Arabidopsis thaliana: one gene and its partner. The protein of the gene in region 2 interacts with the protein of the main gene of each other region in a pairwise test. Each region holds a gene or a part of one and is shown on either strand. Other genes may lie near its edges.

The links.
Region 1: the proteins of LUH (region 2) and AT1G09200 interact in a two-hybrid assay, tested with the Arabidopsis thaliana proteins (one study listed by BioGRID).

Annotation. Positions count from the first base shown.
Region 1 is NC_003070.9:2,971,050-2,974,250, forward strand, and holds AT1G09200 (Histone superfamily protein), read right to left. Parts: upstream 1,286-3,201; 5' UTR 1,084-1,285; coding exon 673-1,083; 3' UTR 522-672; downstream 1-521. Other genes in the region: AT1G09195 (Ppx-GppA phosphatase), read right to left, coding at 1-408; CRT1b (calreticulin 1b), read right to left, coding at 2,168-2,179, 2,277-2,393, 2,478-2,507, 2,669-2,716, 2,810-2,905, 2,991-3,058. UniProt on the Arabidopsis thaliana protein: Core component of nucleosome. Nucleosomes wrap and compact DNA into chromatin, limiting DNA accessibility to the cellular machineries which require DNA as a template.
Region 2 is NC_003071.7:13,864,904-13,872,683, reverse strand, and holds LUH (LEUNIG-like protein), read right to left. Parts: upstream 5,913-7,780; 5' UTR 5,758-5,912; exon of another isoform or gene 5,645-5,757; 5' UTR 5,556-5,644; intron 5,473-5,555; 5' UTR 5,450-5,472; coding exon 5,418-5,449; intron 5,344-5,417; coding exon 5,246-5,343; intron 5,159-5,245; coding exon 5,049-5,158; intron 4,968-5,048; coding exon 4,687-4,967; intron 4,592-4,686; coding exon 4,513-4,591; intron 4,410-4,512; coding exon 4,241-4,409; intron 4,053-4,240; coding exon 4,003-4,052; intron 3,918-4,002; coding exon 3,639-3,917; intron 3,168-3,638; coding exon 3,093-3,167; intron 2,974-3,092; coding exon 2,746-2,973; intron 2,568-2,745; coding exon 2,423-2,567; intron 2,342-2,422; coding exon 2,232-2,341; intron 2,091-2,231; coding exon 1,941-2,090; intron 1,859-1,940; coding exon 1,706-1,858; intron 1,630-1,705; coding exon 1,510-1,629; intron 1,309-1,509; coding exon 1,111-1,308; intron 984-1,110; coding exon 840-983; 3' UTR 527-839; and 1 more. UniProt on the Arabidopsis thaliana protein: Transcription repressor subunit of the SEU-SLK1 and SEU-SLK2 transcriptional corepressor of abiotic stress (e.g. salt and osmotic stress) response genes, by means of an epigenetic process involving histone modification (e.g.

The DNA of each region.
Region 1 (3,201 bases), on a different chromosome or scaffold from region 2:
AAACTGAAGCACGCCTAAATAAACTAACCTGGCTTCCTCTTCACCAGAAAGCACATCGACCTTAAGCCCAACATCCTCAAAAACCGCATCCACGAACTCTTCCTGATTCTCGGCTCGCCGTAAGGCTTCCGTTGCAACGCATCGGATCCTATCACCAGAGACGTGGTGCGAGAGAATTAAACTTTTGAATTTCCGTAGAGATTGAAGCGCGCGAGCCTGAGATTGAGACGAAATTGAGGTTGGAGATTCACGAGACAACACCACTGGCTCTTTGAGTCTCTCGATTGGAACGAAAGATCTACCGGAAGGCTCAGCTTGGACTATTAGAAGCTTGAAAGAATTTGTTCCCAAATCAATGGAGGTGAAGACCTCCGATGATATAGGATTCGATAGCAGATTGGAGTTCATCTTCGATCGAATCACAACTAATTAACAATGATCTTCACAACAATTTCAGCGTCAAAGCTGATTAATTTGTGAGACTATAATGAGTTGTGAACTAGCACAAATTAACCAAACAATTAGTGATTAATAAAGTCAACTAAAAAGTCAATACTTTGATAGAACAAAAGATAATTGCTTGGAATTAATATTATAACCCTTGGATTTAACTTGAAATTTTACAATCTTATGGTTCTAATCAAAACACAAGAGTAACCAGAATACTTAGATCTAAGCTCGTTCTCCTCTGATTCTTCTCGCGAGCTGGATGTCCTTGGGCATGATCGTGACCCTCTTGGCGTGAATGGCGCAGAGATTGGTGTCTTCGAAGAGTCCGACGAGGTAAGCTTCAGCAGCTTCCTGAAGAGCGGCGACGGCACTGCTCTGGAAACGAAGATCGGTTTTGAAGTCCTGAGCGATCTCTCTGACAAGCCTCTGGAAAGGGAGTTTACGGATAAGAAGCTCAGTGCTCTTCTGGTACTTCCTGATTTCTCTTAAAGCAACAGTTCCGGGTCTGAATCTGTGTGGCTTCTTCACTCCTCCGGTGGCCGGAGCAGATTTCCTCGCCGCTTTTGTCGCCAGCTGCTTCCTTGGAGCCTTTCCTCCGGTTGATTTCCTAGCCGTCTGCTTGGTACGAGCCATGAAGTAAAATGTTATTAAGAAACTGTTTGATTTTAATTTGAAGATGAGAGAAAGTTGAGATCTGGATAGTTTGTTTCGATTGAGGAAGGGGATATTTATCGTCTGGAAATTACAAGAAGTGGGAGGGAAAATATTTCGCTTTTCTTTTTCAGCGGGATTAGATCTGGATCGTTCATTGGTTTTTAATCAACGGATATAAGAGGTTTCTATCACGATCCGCGTGAAATCACAGCAACCGTAGATTAATACAATTCTACGGACAGATTTCATTCTTTTCTAACACTGATCCGCGTGAAGGTACGAAGACCAATAGAAATAAAAGAAATAATCTAAATATATTATCTTTACCAAAAAACCAAGCCCATTACTTAATAGGGCCTGCGTAATTGTTTTTCTTTTTTTGGTTCTCAATCAGCTTTTTCTGGGCTTAAATACCATCTCAATATGCTAGGACGCTGTTTTGTATAAAGATTGTGACTTCATCTTTTGAGAATGACATCATGAATTAAAATATTGCTGTCTAAGGTTAAGGTAAAACAAAGATTGCACTGCATTCGTTCTCTAGCGTTCTAAGCATCTGTGGTTGGGGTACAATTATCTCTATATAATTTTTGTTATCTCAACATCTGTCTTCACAATGGAAGTGAACCCAGTATAAGTGTATAGACAATGTGGAAATTGTTTGGAAAGTGAAAGACATTCTACATTACTACTACTCTAGTATCAATCAACTTGCAGGGACGTTGGACTGTTGGATTATGGACTTGGTGGTCTGTATTGACTGACAAGAGACTAACAACAAATTCTCAAAGGGTGGGGAGCAGTGAACGAATACACCAGAATCCGATTTTGGCGGACATTGGCTTAGCAGAGAAACAAGAGTAGAGAAAGAGAAGCAACTGCAAAACTTCTTCATGGTTTTTTAAAGTCTAAAATGAGCATCTGACAGACATTGTATCCCCCTTTTAGTTTTGCTAAAACTTGTTTCTATCTCCGACAAACTAGATGCTAAAATACTTCAAAAGAAAACGATAAAACAATAAAGAGACTGAAAACTTTGGTCTTCAAATCTTCAACCTTTCACCTATAGCTCATCCTGCAAAACCAAATCACGCAGTTTTAACCACAACTCAAGGAAAACAACAAAATTATGGATGAGTGAAATTTCTCCAAGTGATATTGTGGTAGCATACATGAGCGGTGGCGTCTTTCTCAGAGGTTTCCTCGCTATCTACTGATTTGGTCTCCTCGGCCTTAGATTCAGAATCGGAATCATCTCCTCCTTCATCATCCTCTGGTTCGTCTTCAGCCTGGAATTTATATCACATATAATATTAGGACCTTGACAGAAACAAACAAGACTCTAAAAAATTTGATCCTTCACAAGTGCTTACATCAGATTCCGCAGGTGCGTCCTTGGATTCCTGTATCAACACAGAAAAAGGAGAATGCCGTCTTAGATTATCTATTCCCAACTTGGTTACAACAATTACATAATTGGCAGTAGAAACTCCACAAAAGTCCAAACTACTTGTTTTAGAGAGATTCAAATGAATTAAGCTAAATAATTAGGAGAGATATTTACCTCTTCCTCATTCTTCTTCTCAGCCTCATCGAAAGCTGCTTTCTCCGCCTGCAATGTGATATTAGATTGGATATTCTGATCAGTAACCAGAAACAAAAAAAAAAAAACTGTGTTATGAAATTGGGTATTTTAAACACCTACATCCTTGAGCTTTCCCCATGTTTCATCTGCCAACTTCTTGGCATAGTCTGGGTCATCGCAGATCAAGACATTGTCGAACAATGATCCTGATTTCACCTGGAAGAGTAACATGTATTAGATGAGAGTCATGGGAATAAAGCATATCTTCGAAGGTCATTCAAAGTGACAAAGATTTATTTACCTGCCACAATTCGAGTCCAACATATTTCAGCTTGGGGAAGACGTAGAGCTCTGGGTCATCCTTGAAGTCTGCGGTAATCAGTTTATTTTAGGCACACTAATTGTTTATTATTATGTCTAAGAGAGCTAAATTTTCATGTAAGTTAATGCAAGCATAAAAAACAAAAAGTTGCGAGTTCTACAGTTACATCCAAATGAACATGATATAAAAG
Region 2 (7,780 bases):
AATGATTCATTCAACCACTCAACTGTTACAAAAAATAAGTTCATGTTTAAGAAAAAAGTACATTTATTTTAGACCAAAAAAAAAAAAGTACATTTATTTTAGTTTTTCCAAGTTAGACGTGTTTGTAAATTGTAAACAAACACAAACGTAACCGTGCTTTTTACTTCTCCTTATGTTTCACATTTCCGTTTTCTATATATAATATCGAGTTTTTCTTTTTTTTTGAGTTGAAAGTTAAATTTATTCAAACCCAAAAAAACTATTTTTACAATAAATGTTACAGTGATGCTGAAACAAATAATTTTGAAAGAGAGGCAGAGTCATTCAAGAAAGATGCGGTTATATTAGAAGTTCAATAAGTAACCCAGAACAAAGACAATTTAAGCCTAAGCAGATAATAAACTCATCCTTAATCCTAAGTTTTAACGTACGAGTACTTTCAATGTGCATGCTTAGAGTTTTGTATTCATCTTAAACCAACTTAATGTATGCAGTGTCATTATAAGATATTCGTAAAGAGACCTTAAAAACAAGCGTTTGGCTGATTATAAGAAATTATTATTCAACAATGTAGTTGGTCTAGAGAAATTACTTACATCTCTCTTTCACTCTAAACACTAGAGATCAAAACAACGAAGTAAAGAAGTAGGATCATTAGACAAAGATTGGAAATATCACAAGTCTCTTTGCTTTTGACATAAACAAACCCAATTTAAAAAAAAAACCAACTTATTAATGTAACATTAAAAAAAAAAAAAAAATTAGACCCAAAAAAAGTCCTGAGCTCTCTGCTATTTCTTCTTTTTTCCTTTTCTTTTCAGACGAACATAGAAATATTTCTACTTCCAAATCTTTACGGATTTGTCATGACTTGCAGACGCAACCACTCCCGTCGAAGGCGACTGAGCCAAGGCAGAGATCACACACTCGTGGCCTGCTACCGTCATACATTTGTTCTCCATTGTGTTCCACAGCTCTATAGCCTGTCACAGATTCGTTTACCAAAGTTAAAACAACTGAGAGACACATTCACCTCATCACACATTTGAACATAAGACTAGATATTGTTTGACACATTATTTGTTTGAGAAATGGGGATATAGGTTATACCTGATAGCCACCGATGACCAAGAGATCGGGATAGCTAGGGTGAAAAACAACAGAGTGGAACTTGTTTCCACTGTTGCTAAGCTCGTGGATGCAATCTCCTGAACTCAGTGACCATAATTTTACAGCGTCTTCACTAACAGACGCCACCAACTCTCCGTTTGGGCTCCAACAAACAGAATGTACATTTGAGGAATGTCCCTGCCAGATCAAAAGTAAATAAAGCCATGAGTAACGATCAACACTTACGACATCTAAACATATGCCCCAATGCATCTAACAAGAAAAATGCACTGGACTTTGAAGATTCAAAGTATTAAAAGTAAAAAACAAAGCTTTTAGTCTTTTATGTGGATTGACCCGGGGAATTCAAAAATATCAATATATCATCTTCAGCTCTACCTTAAAAATGTTGACCCGTTTGTTATTATTTTCAATATCAAAAATTGACACAGTATTTTCTGACGCTGCAGCTAAAAACTGTCCTGTTCTTGGCTGGAAACGTACTTGCGTGCTAGCCCCCTGTGCTTGGAAAATTCAACGATTAGCAAACAGAGTTCACATCCCAGAGAAACCATACAAAAGGTCAGGGGCTTGCCTTTACAGCACGAACGCAAGAGGCGTTTATGTCCCAAAAGCGAATATCATTGTTGCTATCACAGGAGCATAAAAGCTCGGTTTTCTTAGGATGAAAATCAATGGACATAACAGGTGCAGCATGACCAGAAATTGTTCGTAGGAAGTAACCAGGCTGCACAAATTGGTAGTAGTTAGTCACAGCAGAACACGAAAAATTGCAACAAATAAAAGAGAAACAAATTAAATTAGTATACATCAGAAGCATCCCAGATTTTGATTGTTTTGTCGAATGATGACGTTGCCAGTTGAGTTGAATTCGGTCTGAAGCGAACATCTGTGATGATATGAGCATGTTCTTCCGGAGTGCTCTCAACTTGTAGTGTTTCCATGTTCCATATAAATACCTACTGACAAAAATAAATTTGCATCCACATTATCTGTTTTTAAACAAACAAAATGTTACCTACCTATAAATGATCTATAGCTGTTTTAGGGCCATGACAAGTTTATAAGCAAACCGTATCTCAGAAATTAAGAAGTTGCACCTTCTTATCATGTCCAGCGCTAGCCAACAACTTCCCATCATATGAGAAGCTACAGCAAATGACCTTACTGGCACTTTTTCTTATACAACTAACCTCATTGAAACTGAAAGCTGAAACGAGAAAAAGGACCGTGTTAGTATATATTTATATCGTCTACTTGTATCATACTTATCCTTGGGGTGTTAGAATACGCTTTGAGGTTTCGGTATGCACAGAAGAGTTCCGCTTTAGGGTGCCAAACAAGCTTCCTCCGTCTCCATCATCTTGGGACAAAAATGATTCTACATTATCTTCTAGAGCTCCCACATCTCCAAACTGGTCCATGTCATCCTGCAGCTATTAATTCTTGTCATAAGAAAGCTGAAAGAAACACGGCCCCATGGGATATAAAAAAAATATTCAAGCTGCTAAGAAAGCACTTGTTTCACACAACACAACTGCATGCTGTATCCAGATGTTATTGGAGGAAAACTAGATTGTCGTTATCATTCTTCTGAGAAATTAAGAAACATACCAGTTGATTTGCTGATGATGCAAGACCACCGATCCCATCAGAACCATACATCATTGGCCCTTTTGGCATGCTATTCACATGGTGCATGTTACCAGCTATAGCAACTCCATCAACAGGGGTATGCGTTGACGGAGTCGATGGCTGTGAGTTGGATGGGCCAACAGTGTTTCCTGTCCCTGTGCTGTTAGCAGGACCAGAAGAGGAAGGCCCTTTTCTTTTGCGGTTGTTCTATCAGATACACGAAAAGGAAGTTGTGGCTCAATCATCTCAGACACTAAAGAATATATTCAGTTGGTTAAAACCACATGCTTGATAAGACTTGAGGGATTGGATCCACATAAAAGTACCTGTTGTGATTGCTGGGATAGTAAGTGATCTTGTTGCTGAGAAGAAGATTGCTGTACTGGCGGCATGCTGATATGCTATAGACCAACAAGCAACGGAAAGAGAGAAAATCAGAAGAAAAAAATGTGATTGATAAAATTTTAGCAGTAAAGTCCCCATGTTTGGTAGTAATCAGCTACTAATTGCGGATAAGTTTTCTCTATTATTGGGTTCATGTGGTTAACAAGAAAAAACAAAATTCTGATACCTATGTAGATCTACATTAGGATAACACAAACACATTACCTTACACATTTTCCAAATGGAAAGTATAGCAGTCAGACGATAACCCAAAAGAGTACAATTTTAAAGCATAGACGAGCAATTATCAGAAAAAATGCATAGAAGGACAGACGTAATGATCCAATTACACCACTTAACGGAACACAGAAAAAATGAGATGCTTCATTTTTTCTCTGCTACCCGAAAAAGATGATATAATGCAGCTCAACAGATTCCACTGCATCCAACAGGGATATGCATTTATTGGTAATTTGAGAAAGTCTTACCTTTGACGAACTTGACTGCATGGGGGACCCTATAGATCCATCATTTGCATTTTGTTGGCCATCTTTCGGATTAAGGTTTCCTCTAGGTAATCCTGTAAATCTTCGAGGGTCCATGTCACCACCATACATGGGTGAATTAGTCATATTTCCTTGCGCTTGAACCTGAGCCAACATCTGATGTTGTTGCTGCTGCGGCGAGAGCTGAAATTGACTTTGATTTTGTAGAAAAGATTTCTGAACCTGAGGGCCTCCTAAACCTGGTCGCATCTGCTCGATGCCCTGTAACATTTGTCAAGAAACTTAGCAAAATACTGGGCTTGGAATGACAAACAAATAAATTCTTAGAAGAACCACAGAGACTTACAGTTAATGGCCATCCCTTTAAAGGAAGACCACTCACTCCAGGGTTTAATCCTTCACAAGGGACAAACACAACACCATAAGAATTTATACAAATTGTAAGCAAAAGATTCTCGTGATGCCATTAGCATATCACCCTATGTAATTCATCATGATTTTGCACATAACAGGGAAGTAATATTTAAATTTTGGAGTCCATAGTCAACTAATTGCCATAGAAGGCATACTACCACGTATTTTACCACCATTTTCTTTTCGGTGAGCGATTACTCTACAATGCAATACATTGATATATTTACCTGCACTCCCCATCCCAGGCTTTGATTGCAGAATTCCCTGGCCATAAACTGTAGAAGGATCCACTGGCAGTTGTCTTGGAGATGTACCCAAATTAACTTCAGTTTTGATTTCCTGCACGTACAAGAGATTCAGATGTACACCAAAATATCTGATTGGAGACTTGTCTGTTAGAAAATTTGAACAGTATAAAGTAAGGTGCTCGAGTAGTAGTTACAGTGGGCTGCTGAGTTCGTGATTGAATTTGCTGCAGCGCTGCCGAAACACCTCCTTGATGGTTTCCTTGGACAATCTGACTGTTTAGGGACAGAAAAAAAAAGAAAGGACAACAAGGGGTCAGAGGTATGAGGACTAGAAAAACGACAGCAAAAAAGAAGCTGAGCCAATTTACCCATGATGGTTTGTTGCTGATTTAAGAAGGGCCATCCTTGCATCAAGATGAGGTTGGGATGTCTCAGAATTCATAGGATTAGGCTGCTTCATGCGTTCCTCGTACATTTTAGCAGCCAAAGCACTAGCATTAGACTGCCCAATCATCCCTTCAGAACCAATAGCATTCATTGGACCGCCAAGAGAAGGATGATTAGGGTCCCTACGCTGCATTTGAGCTTGGCGCATCATCTGCAGTTGCTGTATTTGCATTTGCTGCTCCTTCGCTTTACCTTGTTGTGCCTAAAATTTCAAAACCACTGGTCAGTTACGTAATTCAAAACTAACAAAACATATTCCCAGATGTTAGTAGAAGACATTCACCTCTATATAAGCTGCAGCAGCCTCTGAATGCTTCTCATTCGTCCTTGCAATGAAAATGTCCCAAAACACAGACCACCACTCAAAAAGAAACCCTCCAGGTGCATCAATTGCTAATCATTCACACAACAAAAAACAATTACATATCAAAACTTAAAATTAAGAAAGAACAAAGTGGAACAAAGAAAGTGTAATATTACCAACTGGATCAGGAGAAACCTTCCCTTCAGTCATAAACGACTTAGCAGTATTATGAAGTTTCTTCTTCACCAAATAATCATATATGTAAACATCAAGCCTACAAAAACACAAAGATATCAAAGTAAGGAATTGAAAAAAAATAAGCTTTTATTGAATACAAAATTAACTTACATCTTGTCAGCTTCCCAATTACTCTGAGCCATAGCTTCAGCCCAAGATCGAGCTGCTATAAAAGGAATTCAAATCTTCAATCCAAAGAAATGATATGAACTCAGAATAATTCGATTGTTTTAATAAACAGACACTAACCTGAATAAAAGCCCAAACAAATAAATATCAAGTAGATCAGAACCCTAATTCGATCTTCAGATATCAGTAAATTTAAAGATCAAGCATTGCTGCTACACATACAGAGAAAATATAAAGAAATCGACAAGGTTAAATTGCTTATACGCGAACATGACTTTTGGAATTCGTTGAATTGATATAGAAAGTAATCGAATTCACATACCTGACGGATCACAATTGAAAAGGAAAAAAAAGAATCTAGGGTTCTTGAGAGATTACAGTGAATTGTAATCAGCTGTAAGTTAAGAGTAAATCGATCATGAAACAGCTGGAAGAGAGAGATAGATCAGATTGATGAGTTTGGAGAGATCATCGGATGTTTGGTTTGATGCTTAGCTTTAGGATTCGATGAAAAAGTTTATTCATGGGCTTCGATATTTGGACCTAGTTATGGGCTTACTTTTGGGCCTGTGATTGACTTTTAATCTAAAGTCAACTCGAAGGTAGGCCGAAATTTCTCTTGAATCGTTAGAGCAGCCAATTCATGGTTTCTAAACAGAGTGAAAAAATTTATTATAAAAAAAAGTGTAGGTTTTTTTATTAGTAAAGAAATTATTTTCAAAGTACGCAATGCTATGTCAAGATAAATGGTTCATACTTCATGTAGCTACACTCAATAATACATTGGAAAAAATGTCAAAAAAATTGCCAACTTTGAAAAATGGGATGAAAAATCACCAACTCCTGAAATGTCGTTTTAATCACATACTTTTGATTGAGTTCTTTAGAAAGATAACAGAGCAAAGTTTTGTTGATTACGAATCTTTGCTTTATTATCTTTCTGGAAAAGTCAACCAAAAGTATATGATTTAAATGACATTTCAGGAGTTGGCGATTTTTTTGTCCCATTTTTAAAAGTTGGCGATTTTTTTAACATTTTTCCCATAATACATTCATTATTCTACCGTATTTAATCTTCTAGTTATAGCTTACGAATGGTTCAAAATGAAAACTTGCGTCAAATACTAGTTCTTTCTTTTTGGGCAAACTCGTGAAATATGTTTGTATTTTGAGGGTGAGATTTGACCTTATAAACTGATCACTGCATATGTTTTATGAAACTAATTCAAATTCTAAATAGAAAATAAGAACTAATTAAAATCCTTTAACTAGAGGTCTGTAACCAAAAGATTGCATGCATATTCTCAATAGAACCAATCTAATTTTTTTACAAAAAAAAAATGCATAGGATATTCATTTGGCACTTAATTTGAAGTTTTAGTACTTTATGATGTGAAATGAACAATCCACACTTGTAGTGTTATGAAGTATTAAACGTATTTCTTAAATTTCTTACTAACAAGTTAGCCCTAGATTAACTAGTTAAATATTCTTGTTAAGCCTCGTTTTTTTTTCAAATCACTAGTTGACTTTAAAATTTAAGTCCCAACCATTATTCTAACAACAAACAGTCCAAATTAAATAAAAGATTACATTCACAGCTCAAACCAGTCAACCTCAAATTTTTAATAATCTAAATCTATGTGGGTGATGCATGTATAATGTATAAGCCTATCTGTTTTTCTTTATTTGTTAGTTTGGAAAATGAAAGGTTTAATATGTGTTTGGTTTGAGCCATTAATGACATAATAAATGAGATCACTTTTTTTTCACTAAATGAGATCACATTTAGGGCTTGAATAATGCAAAAGAGCCCTCATATTATTAATGGCTTTGTAGTAGACATGTCCTTCAACTATAAAAGGAAAAATAAAACAGCCACGATTATAAACTTTTGTTTTTTTGATAACGACACAATTTATTCATTTATGGTACGTCTTTTATGAAAATACACTAAAAGAGAAACACACTGTTCTTTTTGCTATAAATCCATGGAAGGTTGATTTATGAGGAATCATATACATATGGTGAACTGATGATTGCATTCTACGAATATGATCAGTCTGGTTTTTAGAACATGAACCAATTATTATTATTTGACAAAGTACATGAACCAATTGTAGTATATATTTTCATCAATTTCAGGTTTTTTCACCATCGGCGCCCACTAGAATCGTTTGCTCATTTTCTTAATCGGAAATAAGATATACATTTCATTTCATGTGCATATATATATACATCGATATTATTTATTTATTGAATTCATCAAATGTACATTGATTTCATTTTTATTGTTATGTTGGATGAGATCAACTGGGCAGTTGGCAGACATAAATAAATTGTCC